Drosophila melanogaster: one gene and its partner. The gene in region 1 interacts genetically with each later gene. Each region holds a gene or a part of one and is shown on either strand. Other genes may lie near its edges.

Region 1 (7,690 bases):
TTTTCCTGGTCAAAGGGAAAAGTGATGTCCAGCCGGGATTCGCAGTCTTGGCCTTTATGATTTTTATACTTGTACACAAAGGGCAGCGTGCGAGTGGCAGTAGAGTCCATTTCAGAGGTCCTTAGTCGGTGTTTTAGTTAGTTATAGTCATTAATTCGCAAGTTAACGCCCCCTGCCTAAAAGAAATGCAATTAGTATGACCGTATTGCGACCGCTTAAATATATCGCAGAAAACTTATTCACCACTTAGAGAAGACTCAAACCAACAACAAAGTGACAGACACAGTGCTCATTTATCATGATTTATTATTTTCAGTGGACTAATTAAAATTTAACATTAAATGCAACAAAATGAATGCTTTGAAAATCATTCAACTATATAAAACGGAATTTGCGATTTTACGCCAATCACGTTACATTCGCAACGCCATTATTGTTCAAATACCGTTATTTTCCCCCACTGGTGAAATTTTAATTCAAAATGAAACGAAAATCATTTTGTTTGGTATTCTGAAATTTCTTTATTCAAAGATAGTAATAATGAAAATAAAATGAAGTAATAAATAAAAGTCGTATATTTACGATGGTGCAGAGGGGAAACCGTTCAACATCCATTCCATCCTCAGGTGCGACGAGCCGATTCAGACCACCTGAAAGTTACAACTTTTTCCGGATTTGGGATCTGCGGAGGATTACTTACCCAGAGGGAACCGAAACCCAGCGACCGGAGTTGCTAGCAAACGCGGGCACCTTCCGTGGCTGCATTCAGTAGCGCGGCGGCAGTCTTTCAGCGCTTCGCATACTTTTCGCAGCCAACTGGCAACAGAAATTACAATAATATACATGGTTGTAAATGACATGGTACAGCAGGCGGGGGGCAAATCAAATAAAAGGGGAAAATGATTCCTGTTAAGCGAGTGAAAGGAGAACTCTCGAACGACGTTAATGGCCCGCCCACAACAAATGCTATAGTAAAGTACATATTCTTGGCTGGCTTTTGGACCTGGTCAGACTTGCTGCACCTTGTTACCTCTGCAATACACTCTCATTCTGATCGAGATCCTTTTGCTGATGCTGCTACAGAAATATAGAAAACTACGAGGCTTTGGCTTAGCTATATACTTTTTGTTCTTTCGTCAGAGTTTACATCAATTGCGGGACACTTGCTTATTTTTTTTTTTTGCATCTTGTATTTTTTAGCTACATTAAAATGTAAATTTTGTTAAGTATAATTGCGCTGACTCCTCAGACAGACTGCTTGCTAAAAGGTATAAATTACAATAAAGGTTGTTTGTTGATCGGTTACATCTAAGCAGCGGAAGAGGTTATATCCATGTCGACACTTATTCAAAAATCTAAGTATCTAGATTCCTCCACACACGGTCAGGTTCGCTTAGAACTTGAATAGTAAAATTATTAAGACTAGGGTAGCGTGCGGATGGATGCAGAAGTCGCTCCGCACGCTCTACTCGATTTAATTCTATGAGAACTTAGCCTAGTAAAGTTGTAAAATGTAATACATGTTTTTATATATTTTGTGTTTTCTGCTCTGATTATCAAAAGTTGCCGGCAGCCGATGGACTGGAGAGCTGTCTGCAACCAAAGAAACATATCTCTCGGCTGCCGCCTTGAAGTTTTACATAGCTGATTCGTTTATGACTGGTTGTTTTAAGTAGGTTGGTTGGTTGGTTGCTCGTGTGGTGGAGATACAAATGTTTGGCCTGTCGTCGGCTTTGTGGATCTAATTACAATGTTACTTATATGGGCTGCTACATATGGGTTGCAAATTATAGATTACAATTCTGTGGGTATTGGATAGTTTTCGATGCGCCTCTTGACATTCAATTTATCATCGCTTGCAAAGACAAATTGAATGGAATCCTGGTCACCTTCTGTGTACGTGTACTGCCACTTGCTGTGTTTCTTCTGTTTAGCTCACACACTGCTCTGCACTGCACTGCACTCTGTATTGGTCTGGTCTTGCTTGGTACTGATCTCTCTTTCTGTTCTAATCCAAGACTGAACCAAACTTCTTACGACTTCACTGCACTGCACTGATCCTGATCAATCAATCTGTAATGTTTGGTTTGTGGTGCTCGGAAAACTTCTTAGGACTATGAACGTGCGTTCATACTTCATCATATTGATCATTGAATTGCGTATCGTTTACTTGACTTTGAATTTTGGGATTATACTGAGCGACTTTTACTTTATCACCTATAAAATGTCGATAAATGAGAAACGTTATTTAAAACAATTGGTATGAAAAGGAGTTCTTAATTGGTTGATGGGTTTTTGTTCTCTAAATACTTAAAAGTGTAAATACGTATATAAGTTTGTTGAGTAAGGTGGGTCGGACTGTCTCAGCCGTTTTGCTTTTTAGTCTCAATATGCTTTATAAACTACCAAAAATGCCGATAAGGGCGCTATTATAAAAAAAAAAAAACACACAACATATGTTTGTCAAATCAAGCGAAAGATTAATGGTCATACGGGATAGATAAGCGGTTAGTTATGGCCTGAATTCGCCTTGGACTATGTATATTTTTGTGTTAGTAGTGGTTATTTGGATGTCTCACCTCGTCCGGAATCTCTCTCAATATCTGCGGTTGTTGCCACCGTTATTGAAGCCCTGATTGTTTCCGCCATAGTTGCCTTGATTGCCACCGCCTAAAAGAAAACCCAGGATCGTTAGGAACATATCCAATCGTCTTTCTAGTCTAGTTTCTATACTGGTGGTGACTGTTCATGAAAAAACTGTAACGTGGCTGCGTGTTACGTCGTACTGGGATTATCTTACATACGCATAACATAGCGAAGGCCATCGTCAGTTGATCTCACAGCGTTTAATAAGCTAACTGCCAAACTCTATCGACGCTCTAACAGTTAGGTGTCAGGGTACTGTGTCTTGCTATCTAGTTGTTATCAGTAATGCATCAACAGACGTGCTGTTGCTCACCTGCTTTGAATCCACCACCTCCTTGGTAGGGCTGCATGCGATTGTTGTTGAAGTTGCCGCCACCTCGCTGCGGACCGCCGCCATAGTTCTGCTGGTAGCCTCCAAAATCATTGCCACCATTGTTCCAATTGTTGCCGCCGCCTCCAAAGTTGCCGCCTCCATTGCCATTGTCCCACGGATTGTTATTGCCCCAGCTGTTGTTGCCACCGCCATAACCACCACCGCCGCCGCCGCCACCACCGAAGCTGTTGTTGCCCCAGTTGTCGTTACCCCCGCGGTTGTTGCCCCAGTTGTTGCCACCGTTGTTCTGCAATGCCAATTAACCAGTAATAAGCCTCAAATCGAATTGATGGCGATCAATAAGTTCTTACCCAGTTGCCGCCACCATTCTGGTTGCCGTAGTTTCCACCGCCCATGTTTCCGCGGTTTCCACCGGCACGACCACCCGGACCACCGCGTCCTCCGCCACCTCCCTGTTGGTCATTCTGCTTGGGCAAGGCCTTCTTTACGTCCACCATTTTGCCATTCAGCTGATGCTGCTTTTGCACTGCAAAAATAAAGAGGGAAAGCATGCTATTAGTGGTATTCGAAAATGAACTTCCCTATGTGGTGCATCCGGAGGATAGTGTGCCATATACTCTTTCATCATTGGTGCACAAACACCACCAACAACAACAATATAATACTGGCTGGGATTTCATCTTACAGTCACAAACGCCGCACGAGCACATCGAACATTGCTATGCGGAGCTGGGACTGTGGAATTTTAGCTAAAATTAGGATCGATATCGGATAGTACACATTCACCATTTCGGTGCATTTGATTTGCAGTTGTAACGAGGCTGCGTGTTACACAGAATTGATTTATAATATACATTCGCATCACATAGCTTAGCCGACGCTTAAATTAATCTCACAGCGTTTAAATAAAAACCATACAGGCGACTTTTTCAAGCCCGTCAATTTGTCAGTACTGTGACGTCCACGAAGGGGCTGATCTAGAAACTTTCTGTTTAATCGGTTCGATAATCAAGGTGTGCCTTATACTCTTTCATCGTTGATGCACGAAGAGCACCAACAACAATGATATAATACTGGCTGGAATTTATTCTAACAGTCACAAACGCCGCACGAGCACATCGAACATTGCTGTGCGGAGCTGGGACTGTGGAATCGTAGCTAATTTTAGGAGATATATTCACGCTAAATAACATTCACCATTCTGTGGATTTGTCAGTATATTCAAGTAAGCGAAGGCATTTAGATACTCATTCTTTTCATATAGTTGGTAATTCAATGTGATATTGTGCCTTATACTCTTTCATCGTTGATGCACGAACAGCGCCAACAACACGATATAATATGGGCTGGGTCTTTTATCTTACAGTCACAAACGCCGCATGAGCACATCGAACATTGCTATGCGGAGCTGGGACTGTGTATCGATTTCCATAATAGCAATTAATTGAACTATTGTAACGAGGCTGCGTGTTACACTGAATAGGCGCAATGCTTACATTCGCATAACATAGCTTAGCCGACGCTTTAATTCATCTCACAGCGTTTAAAAAAAAACTACCCTGGTGATGGTTTCAAACCAGTTAATTTGTCAGTACTGTGATATTAGGAAACAGTTTTAGATTCAAGCTATAGTGTGCCATATACTCTTTCATCGTTGATGCACGAAGAGCACCAACAACAATGATATAATACTGGCTGGAATTTATTCTTACAGTCACAAACGCCGCACAAGCACATCGAACATTGCTATGCGGAGCTGGGACTGTGGATATATTGTAATAATTGCAATTTTATCGAAATTTCTTGCTTATAGTGCGCATTCGTTTATCCGACGCTGATGGACATTTACGAGAAGCCCTACAATGTGCCAGAGCTGATTGAGCATATAGATTAGGGGTGGTTGCATGTCATACTTTTTTTCTACACGAACGCCGCGTACACAAATGGGGTTAATATTCGTTTCCTGTGCAGATAATTCAATCTGTATTGTATAAATCTAAGAACATGGCAATGTGATTTTCCTAACAGTCTACTCTCGAAGAGATAAATCATTCTTAAAGGATATTTGATATTGTCTAGATTAGGAAAAGCGTTGTACTTACACACAACTTTGTCCACGGGATCGTAGTCGTCGAACTCGACGAAGGCGAATCCGCGTTTCTTGCCAGTCTCCTTGTCAATGACTATGTTGATGTCGACGATGTTGCCAAAGTGCTGGAAGTAGTCGCGGATGCTCTGCTCATCATGGTCGTCCTTGAGGGCGCCAACAAAGAGTTTCTTTACGGTGGCTCCGGCATTCGGGGAATCAATGTCCTGACGGGGAACGGCGCGCTTGGGCTCCACCACTCGACCGTCGATCTTGTGGGGACGCGACTTTTGGGCCTCATCAATCATGCTCGAGTGGGAATAGGTGATGAATCCGAATCCGCGGGAACGCTTTGTGCGCGGATCCTTCATGACCACCACGTCCACGATGTTGCCCCATTTCTCGAAGTGAGCCTTTAGGTTCTCGTCGGTGGTACGGTAGTCCAAGCCACCGATGAACAGCTTGCGCATATGCTCCGGCTCGGTGATGGAGTCCTGAGGAAAGTCCTAAATTATTGATTTTATCAATGGCCATAACCTCACTTTCCGCCCTTGAGACACATGCGTAATTTTCAAAATGGCGACCGGCAAGGCGAGACACCAGCTTACAGGAAATTTCTAGACCCTTAATATCCACTACTTACATCATCATGGCCATTGGAGTTGCCGTTCTGGTTCTGGTTCGAGTTCACCATTTTACTAATGCAAAAGTTGAACAACTTCTAATCTAACTATTTTTTTTGCTATTGCAAATGGAGAAAGTCCCCTGACACACGAGACGAATGAAAAAACTGAATACAGTGTGACCGTTTCTACAACCCGATTAAACCCAGCACCTATTCGATACTACCTAGAACGATAACGATAAGTTGACAGACACCCTTGTCAATACAATACTTTTACAATATCTGCCCTGTTTCTTTTCACCATGCCTTAAAAAATGTGTGTAACATGTGTATTCTTGATCACGCCTTTTGCACTAAAAAGCTAAAAGAGAAACCAATACCGACAGCATCGTACTCCCTAGCACTATTAAGATACAACTACTGTTAGTCTTAGTCTTAAGTAACAAAACCGCAACGAAATGCTTTAGCACATCAACTTTAGTTGCCGCATGGGTAAAAGCGCGTTGATCACCAAAATATATATATATTGGGATTATGGCCGAACTGAGTTTTTTCCCTGTGCAGTCGCGGTTTTGTGTGCTACTTACATCTTGCTCCTCATTTTGACCATTGTTCCAGTTGTCGTGACCACCCATTTCGAAGAACTTATATTTAAATATCTTTACTGCTCTGATATATATCTCAGCAATACTATAGAAATAACGACACTGGGAACGAAAGACGCTCACTGTAGCACCCCTTCCCTAAAACTGAAAATATATTTTCCTGTGGAAAGGAAAGCCGTAGACAGACCTTACAAAAATACTAGACCTAAATAAAAGCAAAGGTATTTGGTTACACTAATCGGTTGTTGCTTCCACTTGTTTCCACTGAAAATCTATGTGGGTCAAATTAGCGTCTATGGCAGAACGGTGAAATATGGAAAATGAGAATCTTATTTATTTATTTAATTTTTCGCTATTTATAGGTAAATTCCAAAAAAAATACAAATGCAAAAATCTTAATAAATCGAACTATTTAAGAGATCTAACTATCTATGTACGACTAAAGTTTATAGGACTCAGAAAGTATATAAAATATGCAATAAAAAAATCGGCTAGCTACTTTTCAAGGAATATCTCCACTCGCAGAGCATATTCCAAAATGCACGCTGGCCAGAAAAATGATGTGTTAAATTACTCGGCTCCGCCGTCGCCGCTAACTCCACGATGCTAATTTAACGCATTTTTTGTAGCTATTTTCAAGATGTAGCTACATATTTAGCGGAATATTCGAAAGCTTTTTGTGGTATTTTTCGGCGCACCCGCAGCAGCCACACTGCCGCACACGTAAGGAAATAAGTTTTCTAATTCCTTGATTTCAAAAATGCCGAAAAAGAAGACTGGGCAGCGTAAGAAGGCCGAGAAGCAGAAGCTTCGCCTCAAGGAGATCCGCAGCAGAGAGGTGCCTCTTGCGGATTTGCCCTGCAATGCACCAATGGAGTGCGACAAGTGCGAGAAGAAGCAGAAGTCGAGAGCCTTCTGCTATTTCTGCCAGAGCATTCAGAGATTACCCATTTGCGCCCAGTGCGGGAAAATCAAGTGCATGCTAAAGACCGGCGACTGCGTGGTCAAACATCCGGGCGTCTACACCACGGGCCTCGGAATGGTGGGCGCCATCTGCGACTTCTGCGAGGCTTGGGTTTGCCACGGACGCAAGTGTCTCCAAAACCACGCCTGCACGTGTCCGCTGCAGAATGCGACCTGCCTGGAGTGCGAACGCGGTGTCTGGGAGCACGGTGGGCGCATCTTCAAGTGCTCCTTCTGCAACGGATTCCTGTGCGAGGACGATCAGTTCGAGCACCAGGCCAGCTGTCAGGTGGGTAACCAAAAATACTCATTAAGCTTGTTCCGAACTTCATTTTGAGATTCATATGACGCCTTTTGGTAATGCAATCCATTCGGTTCCAGGTGCTGGAGTCGGAGAACTACAAGTGTCAATCGTGCAACAAGCTGGGTCA
Region 2 (4,772 bases), on another chromosome or scaffold:
GCTGTTGATTAGTATAAGTTCATGCTTTTGAGGTGACCTTGAAAAGTTTACTAACATCGCGTTTTCGTCGCTCGCTTTTTCCAAGCGATTATTCGGCTCTATGCATTTTTGTTGTTGCTTGTTTTTTTTGCCAACCCCCGAAACGCCACCCCCGATTATTCCTAGTATTTTCGCTGACGCAAATGAGAAAAGAGAAAGCTCTACATGTACAGTGCAGACTCCCATTGCGTTAAAGTTCATCAACGAAATCTAAATGCTCGGGATTTACACCTTTTTCTGAAAATTTATTTAGTAAAATAAATTTCACTTAATATCTGGTCTCTTTCTCTCTCTATCTCTTTATGTGAAAATCGATCGTTTAACTTATTGAGAGTTGACAGTACTTTTTTCGAGTATTTCTAGGTTATGGTCAAGGCGAAATCTAAGCAAATTTGAAGGCTACGCTCAGGTACGAAGAGCGATGAAGAGAAACGCCTCTTCTTTGTAGAATTCTACTGATAATTCGATTTTTGTTTTTGTGTTTTTTTTTTTTGCTTCTCCTTGCAAAGCTTTTTCGTTTGTTTACGCAAAAAGGAGAGAAAGAGATGGTGCAAACAAATTTCGCGGAGAGATAAAGGTGTGTTGAACTTTAGCAAAAGTACATTTCATAAATTATATTTATTTTGGTTTTTAGCTAGCTGTGAATTTGCTTTTGCGTTTTCCTCAGATGCAAGTGTGTGTGCAAATTATGTATGACCTTTTTTGTATTGTTTTTGCGACGCTTTCAAAACAAACAACTGCGCTCTCTCTCTCTCCCTCTCTCGCTCTCTTGTGTCCATTCTCAGAGTCTTTGCACGTGTATGCAGCGGTTTCTCTTCCTCTTTTCAACACGTAAGCTTGAGCAAAATACCACAATCACATAAATATATACATAGGTGCGAGTGACAGTGCCACATTAAGGGTTAAAAACTGAAAAAATTTGATTTGACCACTGACGTCAACGAAATAACATTTTCTTGCCAAACGTGATTATAAAAACATAAAACAGCAATTACTTTCCGCCGCTTCTTACCTTTTTGAGTATTAAATACATTTATAAAAGTTTCGCAGACGCCTTTAACTTGATTTTCCTTGGTAATATGCACTATTATTTTTACCGCACGAAGGACAGGAAAAAATCCTTTCACTTAACGTAAAACTTGGCGCTCGTTATGATAGTTTTACACTTTAAAAAAAAATTAGAGAAAATAGTTGACAAATTGCTGGAAGATTTGTTTTTTTTTTCTTTTTGTTTGTTGTTGTTCCTTCGGCGGTTATATTTGCAATTCGCATTGCAACGGACACAGTGTTGGTATTTCTCGTGCTGGTATTTAAATACTAGCGACAATGAGAGGTAAAATACCACATGTAATGGTCACACTTTCGCCCGCCGAATTCAAGGCAATGCAATTTTGAATTTGTTATTGATTCATTCTCAAACGAATACCAACATATATTTGAATATATTTCGATATATAAACGCTTCAATTCACTACGCTTCAATCGAAGTGTGTGGTATTTATAAAGTGCGATATTCATCACAGCTATCGCTCATCCCCAAAACACCGGTATGCAAGAATTCAGGTCACACTTGATTTTTCCGATATTCCAAAAGGTTTACCAATCTACGGCAAATCGCCGCAGAGCAAGTGCATCCGTGCTGACCAATCGACTCGGCAAGGCTTTGTGCTTAAACTGCGCCAGGATGTCGAAGTCGCCGGATGGCGGGATTTCCGAAATAGAAACGGAGGAGGAGCCGGAAAATCTGGCGAACTCCCTAGATGATTCGTGGCGTGGAGTTTCCATGGAGGCTATACATCGTAATCGGCAGCCTTTCGAATTGGAGAATTTGCCACCAGTGACTGCCGGCAATCTCCACCGGGTTATGTACCAGCTGCCAATTCGTGAAACACCGCCACGCCCCTACAAATCACCGGGAAAGTGGGACTCCGAGCATGTGCGTCTGCCCTGTGCGCCCGAGTCGAAATATCCGAGGGAGAATCCGGATGGCAGCACCACCATCGATTTTCGCTGGGAAATGATCGAACGAGCCCTTCTGCAGCCCATAAAGACGTGTGAGGAACTGCAGGCGGCGATAATATCATATAATACCACCTATAGGGATCAGTGGCACTTTCGTGCCCTTCATCAACTTCTCGACGAGGAACTGGACGAGAGCGAAACACGGGTTTTCTTCGAGGATCTATTGCCGCGCATTATCCGATTGGCATTGCGGCTACCGGACTTGATTCAATCGCCAGTTCCGCTGCTCAAGCACCACAAGAACGCCTCATTGAGCCTGAGCCAACAGCAGATCTCCTGCCTGTTGGCCAATGCCTTCCTGTGCACCTTTCCCCGGAGAAACACCCTCAAGAGGAAGTCCGAGTACAGCACTTTTCCAGACATCAACTTTAACAGGTGAGCGTCCACCAGATTCGTATATCTTCAGTCGAAGTATGTTAAATATATTCGATTCCATCAAAAGGCTTTACCAATCGACGGGACCGGCAGTTCTGGAGAAGCTTAAATGCATTATGCACTATTTTCGTCGCGTGTGTCCCACAGAGCGGGATGCCAGCAATGTGCCCACCGGTGTGGTAACCTTTGTTCGTCGGAGCGGATTGCCGGAACATCTGATCGACTGGAGCCAAAGTGCGGCGCCGTTGGGTGATGTGCCATTGCACGTGGATGCCGAGGGAACAATCGAGGATGAGGGCATTGGACTGCTGCAAGTAGACTTTGCCAACAAATATTTGGGTGGCGGTGTCTTGGGACATGGCTGCGTTCAGGAGGAGATACGCTTTGTTATCTGTCCGGAGCTATTGGTGGGTAAACTCTTTACGGAGTGTCTGCGACCATTCGAGGCCCTGGTGATGTTGGGCGCCGAAAGGTATAGTAACTATACGGGATATGCCGGAAGCTTCGAGTGGTCCGGCAACTTTGAGGATTCAACGCCAAGAGATAGCTCAGGTCGTCGACAAACGGCCATTGTGGCAATCGATGCCCTACATTTTGCCCAGTCACATCATCAATATCGCGAGGATCTCATGGAAAGGGAGCTGAACAAGGCGTACATTGGATTTGTTCACTGGATGGTGACGCCGCCACCGGGTGTGGCAACTGGTAACTGGGGTTGCGGCGCATTCGGCGGTGACTCCTATCTGAAAGCCCTGCTGCAACTTATGGTCTGCGCCCAGTTGGGCAGACCTTTGGCCTACTATACCTTTGGAAATGTGGAGTTTAGGGATGATTTTCATGAAATGTGGCTGTTGTTTCGAAATGACGGGACTACGGTGCAGCAGCTTTGGAGTATTTTAAGGTCGTACAGTAGGCTTATTAAGGAGAAGAGCTCCAAGGAGCCGCGTGAGAATAAGGCATCCAAAAAGAAGCTATATGATTTTATTAAAGAGGAACTTAAGAAGGTCAGAGATGTGCCCGGAGAGGGAGCATCCGCCGAAGCTGGAAGCTCTAGAGTAGCTGGATTAGGCGAAGGAAAATCAGAAACATCAGCGAAATCCTCGCCAGAACTCAACAAGCAACCCGCCCGACCGCAAATCACCATAACGCAACAAAGTACCGATCTATTGCCCGCGCAATTATCGCAAGATAACTCAAATTCTTCGGAAGATCAGGCCCTTCTTATGCTGTCGGACGATGAGGAGGCCAATGCCATGATGGAGGCCGCTAGTCTGGAGGCTAAAAGCAGCGTAGAAATAAGCAACAGCAGCACAACGTCCAAAACGAGCAGTACAGCCACGAAATCAATGGGTTCAGGTGGCCGCCAGTTGAGCCTGCTCGAGATGCTGGACACCCATTATGAAAAGGGTTCGGCCTCGAAGAGGCCACGAAAATCACCCAACTGCAGCAAGGCTGAGGGTTCAGCAAAGAGTCGTAAGGAGATCGATGTGACCGACAAGGACGAAAAGGACGATATTGTTGACTAGGTGATATTGCACTACAGGATTGTTACTGCCCCCAAAATTGAAGAGGTATAAAATGTATTGTAGATAACTTTAAGGACATATTTAGGGCATTTTAAAGTAGGATCATTGTAAGTCGAATAAAGTGAAATTTTTTTTTTTTTTTTAATTATACTATTCTAATCTGCAAAGACAATTTTACTGTTAAATTTGTATAACATTGATTGATTAATATAATTTGTTATATCATGCAAATCTAGCTTTTATTATGCGAAATTTGTAGTTAAAGCCAGTAAAGTTTCTTTTTATTTAACCGAAACCTTTTGTTTATTTTATTTGACCACAACAAGAACATCAACAACAACAACCACGAAAAAAAAAGCGAATATATATTTGTTTGTTCGTATATATATATATATATCTAAGCAGATCCAACGTCGATGGCCAATCAGTAGTGATTGCGTCGCTTGTTGGATGGACAATACTCGGCGTATTCCTCCCAGGTGCAGCCCGCCTTGGTGCAGCATTCGTTCGATATCGATGGAGTGTTTCCATCCGATCGACGACTTCGCAGAAACATGTTGGCATAGTTCACGTGCAGCCAGGTGGAGCCATCAGCTGGAAAGACAGCAGGTGGTATCATATCGATATCAATGGATCTATAGCATAGATGTACATGTGTACATCGCTTGAAATTCCAATCGTCTTTGGTTGGAATGGATTTCGATTCAACAACTTACGTTCCGTGGTTGTCTTCTTGATCCAAGCCTCATCATTGCCCGTCCTCTTTTTGTTGCGCCGTGTCAGTCGGTAAATGTCCTTCTCGCAGGCCCA

Evidence for each region. Genes that interact genetically often act in the same process or in processes that back each other up.
Region 2: of Hrb98DE (region 1) and Parg, changing one enhances a phenotype caused by changing the other (phenotypic enhancement), as found in Drosophila melanogaster (one study listed by BioGRID).

What each region holds. Positions count from the first base shown.
Region 1 is NT_033777.3:28,598,588-28,606,277, reverse strand, and holds Hrb98DE (heterogeneous nuclear ribonucleoprotein at 98DE), read right to left. Parts: upstream 5,872-7,690; 5' UTR 5,761-5,871; coding exon 5,710-5,760; intron 5,573-5,709; coding exon 5,083-5,572; intron 4,750-5,082; exon of another isoform or gene 4,610-4,749; intron 4,581-4,609; exon of another isoform or gene 4,431-4,580; intron 4,402-4,430; exon of another isoform or gene 4,262-4,401; intron 4,132-4,261; exon of another isoform or gene 3,992-4,131; intron 3,939-3,991; exon of another isoform or gene 3,789-3,938; intron 3,723-3,788; exon of another isoform or gene 3,583-3,722; intron 3,507-3,582; coding exon 3,331-3,506; intron 3,267-3,330; coding exon 2,960-3,266; intron 2,908-2,959; exon of another isoform or gene 2,756-2,907; intron 2,671-2,755; coding exon 2,597-2,670; 3' UTR 2,580-2,596; intron 2,218-2,579; exon of another isoform or gene 1,183-2,217; intron 817-1,182; 3' UTR 501-816; downstream 1-500. Other genes in the region: CG9986 (uncharacterized protein), read right to left, coding at 1-110; Noa36, read left to right, coding at 7,057-7,548, 7,641-7,690. UniProt on the Drosophila melanogaster protein: This protein is a component of ribonucleosomes.
Region 2 is NC_004354.4:3,668,319-3,673,090, reverse strand, and holds Parg (Poly(ADP-ribose) glycohydrolase), read left to right. Parts: upstream 1-1,588; 5' UTR 1,589-1,723; coding exon 1,724-2,436; intron 2,437-2,503; coding exon 2,504-3,962; 3' UTR 3,963-4,254; downstream 4,255-4,772. Other genes in the region: Ilp7 (Insulin-like peptide 7), read right to left, coding at 4,387-4,556, 4,679-4,772.